Linked DNA regions of Nothobranchius furzeri. The protein of the gene in region 1 interacts with the protein of each later gene in a pairwise test. Links are inferred from orthologs where the notes say so. Each region holds a gene or a part of one and is shown in the gene's direction. Other genes may lie near its edges.

What was found.
Region 2: the proteins of klhl42 (region 1) and stxbp4 interact in a two-hybrid assay, tested with the Homo sapiens proteins (2 studies listed by BioGRID and IntAct). The two-hybrid records come from large-scale screens. The link is inferred for Nothobranchius furzeri from reciprocal best matches to the Homo sapiens genes KLHL42 and STXBP4.
Region 3: the proteins of klhl42 (region 1) and trim23 interact in binary tests that used the Homo sapiens proteins (3 or more experiments, as listed by UniProt). The two-hybrid records come from large-scale screens. The link is inferred for Nothobranchius furzeri from reciprocal best matches to the Homo sapiens genes KLHL42 and TRIM23.

Annotation. Positions count from the first base shown.
Region 1 is NC_091741.1:34,812,445-34,816,198, reverse strand, and holds the start of klhl42 (kelch-like protein 42), read left to right. Parts: upstream 1-1,490; 5' UTR 1,491-1,696; coding exon 1,697-2,457; intron 2,458-2,531; coding exon 2,532-2,725; intron 2,726-3,754. UniProt on the Homo sapiens protein: Substrate-specific adapter of a BCR (BTB-CUL3-RBX1) E3 ubiquitin-protein ligase complex required for mitotic progression and cytokinesis. The BCR(KLHL42) E3 ubiquitin ligase complex mediates the ubiquitination and subsequent degradation of KATNA1.
Region 2 is NC_091756.1:51,700,120-51,703,873, reverse strand, and holds the start of stxbp4 (syntaxin-binding protein 4), read left to right. Parts: upstream 1-1,303; 5' UTR 1,304-1,583; coding exon 1,584-1,639; intron 1,640-3,754. UniProt on the Homo sapiens protein: Plays a role in the translocation of transport vesicles from the cytoplasm to the plasma membrane. Inhibits the translocation of SLC2A4 from intracellular vesicles to the plasma membrane by STX4A binding and preventing the interaction between STX4A and VAMP2.
Region 3 is NC_091746.1:63,277,139-63,280,370, reverse strand, and holds part of trim23 (E3 ubiquitin-protein ligase TRIM23), read left to right. Parts: intron 1-664; coding exon 665-799; intron 800-1,400; coding exon 1,401-1,530; intron 1,531-1,612; coding exon 1,613-1,723; intron 1,724-3,232.

The DNA of each region.
Region 1 (3,754 bases):
GTGAGGTGAAATCACCGCAGCACCGCGCAGCACAGGTGATGAGCTGCGCAGCAGCAGAGCGCTTCAGGCACAAATAAGACAGAAAATAGAGAATATGTGCGGACATGAACGATCGTGTGCTAATTATAGTTTTTTGGTTGCGCCACTTTGAGAATGGACCGTGCGCTGGACGCAGCTGCCTGGATCGCTGCGCAATAACGCGCTGTGCCGCTCTTTGTGCTCTCTGCTCAGAAGAGTCCATAAATGATGTAATATAGATAGAAAACTTGTTTCCGGCTCCCCTGGATGTGTAAGATATACAGCTCCCCCATAATTCGATCCCTGCTCCTGGATGAAAAGCCGGACATTTTCATCAATACAAGAACCCGCAGTCCGGACGCCCGGACAGAGAGTGAAAAGTGGACATGTCCGGGGAAAACCGGACATACGGTCACCCTAGTTTAATATAATGCGGGAGATTACAGACATGCCTACAGTATTTTGCTCGTGCGCTTGCTGGCCTGGGCCCTTCGTGGGCCCTGGTCAATTGCCCAGTTGCCCATATGGTTAATCCGGCCTTGGCTGCATCTGTTTCCAACGCTTTCCTCTTTTTAATTCTTGCCTTCTCCGCGCCACCCTTGCTCTTTCTACTTTCCATCTTTCCGTCAACTGCGTGGTCACGTGGTGCGCACAGGCGCATACTGGGGAAAAAAAACGAGCTGCAGCCTGCAGGTAGAGCCAGCCAGAGACAGCCGGGAGGAGCGTATGTGATCAGCCCGGCGGCCTCAGTGCCATGACTGAACACCGGCACCAAAAAATAAAAATAAAATGATAAAAAACAAAAACGAGAGCACCGGCCCCATGCGGCCCAAACATCGCGCGGCCCACCGGGAATTCTCCAGACCCTCCCGATTAGCCACTCCGGGCCTGCACCTGTACTATAATTAGTTCTTTTTGGAATGTTTTTTGCCAAGTCAGGTCCCACATTAGAAAAAAAACTGTTAAATTCATTTACTATTTTACTGGTTTCACTCATTTCAGACTGTCCGTTTTCAAAATAATTCGGAACAGCTGAAGCTATTTTATTTCTTAATTTTAAATATTATAGGTTTACTTGAGTAATTTTATGTATACATTTTTTATATTTTGTGCACAAAATAAAATTATATATATATATATATATATAATTATTTTATTTTATTTTATTTTGTGCACAATAGGTGAATTTTGTTTCTTTTGTTTGTTTATTCTTGTTTCCAGGAAATGAAATAAAATAGTTTTTAAAATGAATCCGATTAGACGCCATTCTAGGACTGACCTGCAGGTGGCAGTAGGGCGGATGAGCAGCTCGACTCAACCGTATTTACACGAAGAAGCGCAGAATCAAAACACTGGAAATTTGACAGTCCGTTCCCACAAGGGTCTTGTGAAATTCTTGTTAAAAGAGCCGCTATCAAGGTCTAAAATAAACTGCAACATGTAGTTGACATATTTATAAACTAGATCCACTTTTCGACCGAACTGTCGAGGAATGCTAACCCGAGGAAAGAGCCGCTTTGGCGGGTTTGTCGGTGCAGCAGCTTGTTAGCTGATTAGCTTCTCTGGATGAGAGGAGCAGCTCCGTTTGGATTTATGGGCTGAACATGACCATATATAGCCCGGCCACGGAGCTCCTGCGCTGGTGAACTGTAAAGTCTTTCTGGAAGCTGTCTCCAACATGTCCTCAGACCAAATCGCCATCGTGGTGGACGACAGGACCTACGAGGTGAACAAAAATAAGTTGATCGAGAAAAGCGATTATTTCCGAGCGCTTTACAACTCCGGGATGAGGGAGTCTACTGAGGACTCTGTGCAGCTCCAGGGGCTCAGCGTTACGGGCCTGGAGCTGGTTCTGGAGTTCATCAACACCTCCAAAGTCCAGGTGGTCAATGAGACCCTGGAAGATCTGATAGAGACCGCCTCCTTTCTACAAGTCACCTCCATCCTCAAGCTGCTGACCTCAGAGATCCGGCTGGACAACTGCGTGGAGCTCTACAGCCTCTCTGAAGTCTACGGTACTCATGACCTGCGAACCGCCTGTCTGAAGTACATGAGCTGCTACTATCACCCCATGCTGAGGCGGCCTGAGTTCAGTAGCCTGCTTTCCGCTGTCAGGGACCAGGTCAAAGAGATGCGCATGAAAGGGACCGCCACCCTGGTGGCCATCGGAGACTTTACCTGTCTGTCGCTGGACGGTCCTGATCAGGACGAGCCCTGGTCCATGCTGAGGTATGGAGAGGTGGAGCAGCGCTGGAAACCACTGGCCAACAACCTGCCCCCAGACATGGTTAACGTGAGAGGGTATGGGTCTGCTGTCCTGGACAACTACCTGTTCATAGTGGGGGGGTACAGGACGACCAGTCAGGAGATCTCTGCTGTGCACTGCTACAACCCCTGCAGGAACGAGTGGAACCAGGTGGCTCCGCTCAATCAGAAGAGGTACATTTTCCTCCCACAGTCCCCGACTGTTGTTTCTGCCCTGTTTCATTCACCCTCTGTGTCATCTCATCCAGGTCCAACTTCAAGCTGCTGGCAGTGCAAGGGAAGCTGTTTGCCGTGGGAGGCCAGTGTCTCGGCACTGTGGAGTGTTACAGTCCAGAACAGGACTGGTGGACGTGTGTGTCTTCGATGCCTGACCCGCTGGCTGAGTTCTCGGCCTGTGAGTGCCGGGGTTTGATCTACGTCATGGGTGGATACACTGCCAGAGGTGGGAAGCTTAGTGTCGCCTGCTGAATGTTGTCACGTACTCCTGAAACAGCGAATGAATGAAAGAAAGTATGAAAATTATGTCACTCATCTGCAGTATCCAAAGTAATTTTGTAAGTCTAATCAATTAAAGTAGAAACACTTCAAATGGCATGTAGTTGTAGAGCGCCCTCCTGGGGTCCCCCCCCCCCCCCCCAACCCCCCAGGCACTTTACAACACAATCACACGCTGGTGATGAGGAGCCACAGCTGCCCCGGGGCGAGCTGACAGAGGCGAGGCCTGCCAAACACAGGCGCCACCGGCCCCTCCGACCACCACCAGCAGCAAGGCAGGTTAAGTGTCTTGCCCAAGGACACAACAGCAGCATTCTCTAGTGGGAGCTGGGATCAAACTGGCAACCTTCCGTTTACTGAACAACCTCCTGAGCTACTGCTGACACGAGGTTGTGGCTGAATTAATATCACTTTGTACGTCTTTGTCAGTAATGACCCTAAAATAGGTTGCAGGTATATTTATATTTGACGGCTCTTGGAGCGTTAATCTGTCAGAACTCGGCCTGAAAAGATCAATCAATCAAATTTTATTTGTAGAGCACCTTCCACAACGTTATCGGAAGCCCAAGGTGCTGAACAGCATCATCATAAGAAAAACATTCCCAGTACATGGGCATAAAAGCAAGATAAAATCATAAAATCATAAAATATCAAGCAAGCACTATTACAAATAAAGAGAGATAACGGAAATAAGACGAATCGATCAAAAACAAATGGTGGACAAAATAAAATCAAGCATCTGGGTTAAAAAGAAGAAGAATTAAAACCATAATGTCAGGGCAATTCAAAGAACCCTAGCGCTAAAATGCAATCAGATAAAAATGAGTCTTTAAACGAGACTTAAAGACGTGAAGGGATGGTGCCTGCCTAATGCTCAGTGGCAATTCGTTCCACAGAGTTGGAGCCAGATCAGAAAAAGCACGACAACCCCTCGATCGATATTTCGACCGGGGGACCACCAGAAGTTCCTGCTCGG
Region 2 (3,754 bases), on another chromosome or scaffold:
CATGGAGTTCAGGTGGAGGTTTGCGGCACTTTTTCATGAGAAGTACCTTTCTGTGAATAAAAATATATCAAATCGGTAAGTTTATAAGTTATTTCCTTAATGAAAATATATTTTTCTTTGAGCAAGTTTTCACTATTTTTCACGTACCGTATTTTCAGGACTATTAAGTAGCTCGTCGCACCAGAAATCAGAAACACTCTGAAACTTTTCTGATGATTTTCTGAACTATTCTGCCGGGGAATTATATGTTTCTGAGACGAGTCACTGTCTAAACATCAAATGCATTACTATCATTAAGCAGCAGGTGTGTTGAAGCTGTCATCCGCTTAGGGGCAGATAAGTGTATCAGGGGCAGCGAGGAACGAGAAAGTTGTGATCAGGCTGGAGATCACACCAGATTCGCTGCTGCAGGCGTGAATCTGCAGCATCCCCTTCTTAACGTGACAGCAGGACTTCCCATATAAGGAAGGTCTGCTCACCTGTTAGTCAGATCATTATTTCCTCGCCATGAACTTTTATCTTCCCATCATCCTCCAGTCATCCAACTGGAACCAGTTAGTGTTCCTGATCATTCTCAGAATATGTCACGCCTGCTCTGGTGTTAAAAGTTAGTACATTTAAGTCCTAGATCATATTTGTGCCTGCTCTACTGTAATTTTGAAGGATTATTATTTATATGTGTTTTTTTTTACTGCATTATGAGTAGAAATGCTAATAAAAACTCCCAATTAAACAAACAAGTGAAACTGGAAAAATTAGAATCTGGTGCAAAGTCAAATTTATTTCAGTAATTCAACTAGACAGAGAGACTATTTAAAGGCTCAGGATCCCTTTGCAGGTGTTTTCTATTTGTAATTATAAATTTTAGTTGATTTGGGTCTTGTTTCATATCACACAGTGACATTTGAATAATTAAAATGCATTATTTTTTATTAAAAGCTTTAGTTTACAGTAATAACCTTGTCTAATGTTTGATTCTCTGTCTCATAATTTTCATTAAAAGTTTTGCTTTGAGAGCACATTTTCCTGAACGATTAAAATGCGATTAATTTAGATTAATTACTTACAAAGCCTCTAATGAATTAGATTAAAATTTTTAATCAAGTCCCAGCGCTAGTTTTAATCTCATGAACCTCCACCAGCACGACTCTCAGCCTGGTTTTGTGTCAGACAAATAAAAACTGACTTGGCTTTTTAAACACTTTAAGCTGCGCCGTGTCTCAGCTGAAAGAAAAACGAAGCTTTTCTTCAAAATTCATCCTCTGCAGTGTGTGTGTGTGTGTGTGTGTGTGTGTGTGTGTGTGTGTGTGTGTGTGTGCGTGCGCGCGCGTGTGTGTGTGACGGACGGGTATCAGGATGGATTAGCGGGTAAAGGTAAGCGCGCGTCTCCCTGTCGGGGCGGATTTCCATCCCTCTCCGCTCTGCTCGGCGCACCGACCCGATTTGAACCTCCACCGCTGTCTCCTCTCATCCCTTCTCTCAACCTTCTGCGACAGCCTCTCGCGAGCGCGCGTGTGTGTGAGAGAGTCCCTGTTTTATGTGTGTGTTGGCATTTTTCCTGCGCTAACAGACACCGGGGTGCGATGCCATTCCTCCCTCAGGACGCGGAGCGCTTCGATGGGTTGTCTCTGCTTTACTGGTGAGTTTATTCCTCCTCCTCCACCTCCCCCCCCCTCACCACCTCCGCTCCGGGTATGTCTCTAGAACAGGGGGTCCAGACTCCTCGGGATACGTCCCCGGGCTTGTTTTTGTCCTCCATGTGGGTCACGGAGCTCAGAGGTAGATTTACATCCCGGTAGCGACAGATGCCTCGGAGTTTAAGTCCGCATGCTTGTGCGCGTTCTGGGTCACGCACGTTTTAAAGGACAACTATATATCCCGCATCTATTTTCATTCCACAGGGAATCAGTCGTCCCTCCGTGTTTTCAAATCGAGCCTATTTATGGCACTGATTAGGTCCTTGTCTGACATTTATGTTTTAGTGAATTATTAGAGACTGCAGGAGACATGAGGCTTGATCTTGGCTGTCAGTCATTTGTTTCCTTTGATTTTATTCATCATTCCTTCTCACCAGAAATTACCTACAAATGTCAGAAAACTAAATCTCACAGTTGAATATTTTTCTTTTAAAAAGGTAAAAACCTAAAACCAGAGAATGTAATATTAAAATATTAAATTAACCGGGATCACCTCAGTGCAGCCGTTTCTGTTTAAATCAGGGTCAGTTTCAGTTAGCACTATTTACTCTAAACCAGATTGTTATCTGGAGTCTGACACAAAACATTTGTTCCCCTCAATAATAATTTTCTATCAAAAGAAAAAAGTGGACACTTTTCACAGAAATGCATTTTAGATTTGAATTCATGGGACTGGATCTTCATAAACCCACCATGCTGATAAAATAAGTCAGTCTTTGTCTGGGTCTAGCCCCGACAAATAAAACAAATTAACATAAAGAAAACACAGCTGACAGCAGAACAAATAAATAAACACAATCTGGAAGCATTTTTTAACCCTTGAAATTTTTTGAAAAAAAAAATCACATTGGCTATGTTTGCTGGTCATTTTGACCCACCCAGTCTAAATTCACTTAGAACTGTAAAAAAACTGCAATAAAACAACAGGAACTTTATTTTCCATTAGAAAAAAAAACATTTAAAACACAGACATACAATAAAGTTTGAATATCCAGAACTATTTATAAGAACTAGTTAGTAAAAGTTTTCCTTCTTTACAAACACTTTTCTTTTTCTCAGATTGTCAATGTTCAACATTTTCAGTGTTGTCCATATGATGGACAGAGTGTAACTGTGTGCTTTCTGCAAATGTACTTCTTGCACTTCTCACAAACGGTGCTTGTTTTAATGTCTTCTCGTGAGGGACACACCTGGCATCTTTTTCGTTTCTTTGCACCTGTATCCACTGGATCCATTGTAGATTGGTCAGATGATGCAGACCTGACCTTTTCAATGATAGCTGCTGCTGCTGGGGATCGAGCTGGTCTGGCTCGCCTCTGGATCTCGGGGGTGACAAGACTTTTGCCCAGATCTTCCAGGAAAAGCCGACGTCAGTACAGTTTGCCGACATTCCAATGTTGGTTGATTTCAGTCCACAGGACAAAGGCATTATAAGCTGACACATCCACAGTGTTGTAGAAAATCACCAAGGGCCAACGAGCTGTTTTGCGCTGGCAGCTGTATGTTGCTGTGACTTTGTCAAGATTGTCTACTCCTCCTTTGGTGGAGTTGTAGTCCAGGATCATTTGTGGTTTTTTTGTCTTCTCTTGTGCTCAGAGATGCATCTGTGTGCATTGTGCTCATGACAAGAACCTTTTAGTTTTTCTTTGGGCAGTATGAAACAACTGTTGCTTTCTCGGTGAAAACAAATTTTGAGGAATGTGGAGGTCTTCCTTGCATCTTCAGAATTTTACTGGGAAGTTCTGGTTCCATTTACATTTACACTTCATCAGCAACACATATTCTAATATTCACACATCTGAACAAATCCCACAAGAATTCCCTTTATAATGTGACCAAAAGTAATGAAAAAGACCTTGTGGTTACAGGAATATAAAGTGTGGATATTTGTTTTTATTTTGCCATCAAATGGTTTGTTACATTTACTTACTGTTTTATAAGAACATATTAGGAATGTATCGTTAAACAAAGTAGTCAAAAGTAGAGAATGGTGCTGGTGATTGTGAATATCAGGACACTAATAAACAATATTACAAGACATTAAAAGACAAATCAAT
Region 3 (3,232 bases), on another chromosome or scaffold:
TTAGATCGTTGTCGTTGGTTTCATCATCACCCAGTTACCCATCACATTTAGTGAAGTGGACCCAAGCTTTAGTGGGCTTTCTTTCTACCATGCTGCTCTGCTTACAACTGGCTCGCAGTGACCAACGAAACGCTCTTGCGCATGCACAGCTGTCTAGGCAAGTTCTCGTTATGAAGGACGGGTACCAAAACGAGGCACCGTTTCAAATGGCATGAATCGGTGCTCAGTCGGTACTATGGAATTCGGTCGGTACCTTAAAAAGTACCGAATTCGGCACCCATCGCTACTGCACACAGATGGAATTAGCTTCCTCATGACCTCAAATGTGTCCCAAATCTAATGACTTTTAAATCAAAATGAAATACCTTCATGTATTCATCAGCCTATGAATAAATGTTTGTTATGCTGCACATTCTGCTCTGTAACTGCTAACCTTTTGACTATGCCTTTTATCTGTTTGTTAAATCTGAATTTAATGTCTACATTTCTTTGTTTGATTTTCTGTTTGCTCTTCTTACTTCTGTAAAACACTTTGATTTGCATTTGCCAAATAAAGCTGCCTTGCCTATAGAGACCACAGCAGATTTATTCTAAACTGAATGAAACCTTTAAGCTCGTGTGTATGTAAGGGTGTCTGATGTGTGTTGCTTCTTTCTTGGTGTAGGACGACTGCAGAGTTGTGCTGGCAAAGCAGGAGATCAACTGTTTGCTGGAGACACTTCAGAAGCAGCAGCACCAGTTCACTGAGCTCGCAGATCACATTCAGCTGGATGCAGGCATCCCAGTCACCTTCACTAAGGTACAAACCACCCCCGCCTACTATCGTCGTCTTCCTCCGCTTATCCGGGTCCGGGTCGCGGGGGCAGCATCCCAACTAGGGAGCTCCAGACAGTCCTCACCCCAGCCACCTCCACCAGTTCCTCCGGCAGGAAACCAAGGCGTTCCCGGACCAGATTGGAGATGTAACCTCTCCAACGTGTCCTGGGTCGACCTGGGGGCCTCCTGCTGGCAGGACATGCCCAAAACACCTCCCCAGGGAGGCGTCCAGGAGGCATCCTGACCAGATGCCCAAACCACCTCAACTGACTCCTTTCGATCCGGAGGAGCAGCGGTTCTACTCCGAGTCCCTCCCGAATGTCCGAGCTCCTCACCCTATCTCTAAGGCTGAGCCCGGCCACCCTACGGAGGAAACTCATTTCGGCCGCTTGTATCCGCGATCTCATTCTTTCGGTCATTACCCAAAGCTCATGACCATAGGTGAGGATTGAGATGTAGATTGACCGGTAAATCGAGAGCCTGGCTTTCTGGCTCAGCTCCCTCTTCACCACTACTTAGGCCTACTGTTCTCTCGGAATTGAACAAAAAGATGAAAGTTCTAAAAACTTGCTTTTGTTCTTTAGGATAATAGAGTCCACATTGGTCCAAAAATGGAGATCCGTGTTGTGACTCTTGGACTTGATGGAGCAGGGAAAACCACCATCCTCTTCAAGCTGAAGCAAGATGAGTTCATGCAGCCCATCCCAACTATAGGTAAAGGGTTTTGGTTTATCGGCTGGCGGTATGATCAAGTAAATGTTGTCCTAAATCCAGCTTGTTTCTGGTCTGTTTCAAGGTTTTAATGTGGAGACTGTAGAATATAAGAACTTGAAATTCACCATCTGGGATGTAGGAGGAAAACATAAACTCCGACCCCTTTGGAAACACTATTATCTGAACACTCAAGGTATGTTCTGTTCTGCTTGGCATTTCTTTTTAGTTTAGTCGTGGTTTAGGTGATATAATGACATGTTCATATTGTGGAGCATTTGTTGTACAAAAAACATCTGGGGTGTAATAGTACATGTATTCAGATTTGGAGTTTTCAGTAAGGAACATTCAGTTCGGCAGAGACGTGTACCAATAGGGAGCCGAAGGCACACCCACCTTCTTCCACACCATGGGTCTCCAGATTAACAAAAAAATTTATGCAAGTCAACGGGGCTAAAAACGCTATTTCCTAATCCCGCTTGTTTTGCGCCATGGATTTCACAGATCAAAGTGTGTCTTTGAAATTCACAGACATCATACCAAGAACGCCCTTATTTTCAAATGGGGGAACGCTATTTTAGGTTTTGTGTGAAAATGAGTATGGGAATACAAATGCGCCTCATGAAAGTGACGTCATCTAACCAGACATGGAGAAAACTGAGGGAAAAGGTCTGTAAGTTCAGCAAACTTCCCACAGGAGGAAAGAACCACCATGAATCTGGTCATTTGGTAAGTAGCAGTTACTTTGGGGAGAGGAGATTCTGCGTTGATGTCACATATGCAACATGACAATTTCTGGTTTGTAGTGATGCTAATTACAAACTTTTACAAGCTAATAAATCTCAAAGTAAATAAATTAAAGTACGTGACTGGCGGGGTCAAAACACCCATCATTACTTTTCATTTAAATTGCAGTATAACATGTGTGCGATCCAGGGCGTAAGGCAAAACGGATTGGAAAATAGCGTTTTTAGCCCCGTTGACTTGCATTCATTTATTCGTTCTTCCGGCAGGGTATCTGCAGGTCCTTAAAAAGTCTTACATTTGCTTTTCCACATTTAACTCATTCGCTGCCAGCGTTTCTCGCAGTTTTTACTGTTTTTTTAAGAGTGACAGAACGTTGCGCTAGGATAATGTTGACGCCAAAACAACTAAAACAAAGCGGAGACACCTCTTACTTCAGGAAGAATCCGCGCGTTTTGAGCATTATCTGTTCTTTCATAATCCGTTGTTGAATTGTGATCGGCAGAAGCTTTTCCGGTCCACGCCTCACTTTTTTTTACAACAGCGGCCCAAAACGATCTCCTAACACACGGATTTTCTGCTTCCTGATCACGTGACGTGTGACGTATGCGGATGAAGATCGGCTTCAGAGCTAGGATGTTTGTTCTCACGACGTGGGGGCTCGTTCCGACGCCCGCACAGTAAAAACATGCAAATGACGACTTAAGTCGTCATTGGCAGTGAACGGTTGGATTTAAAATGGCTACTTTAGTCGTCAATGGCAGTGAATGAGTTAAGGCCCTAAAAATCCTTAAAAATGACAAATAATCCTTAAATAAAGTTTCCAAAGGTTTTAAATTACCAAAGACAATAAACAAGATTATTTTATTTCTATAAAATTTTCGTGAATTTCTAGTTAGTTTTCAGCATTTTTTGTGTATGATGTTGGCGTAAGCGGAACCGTACTCATTCAGTTGGTTGT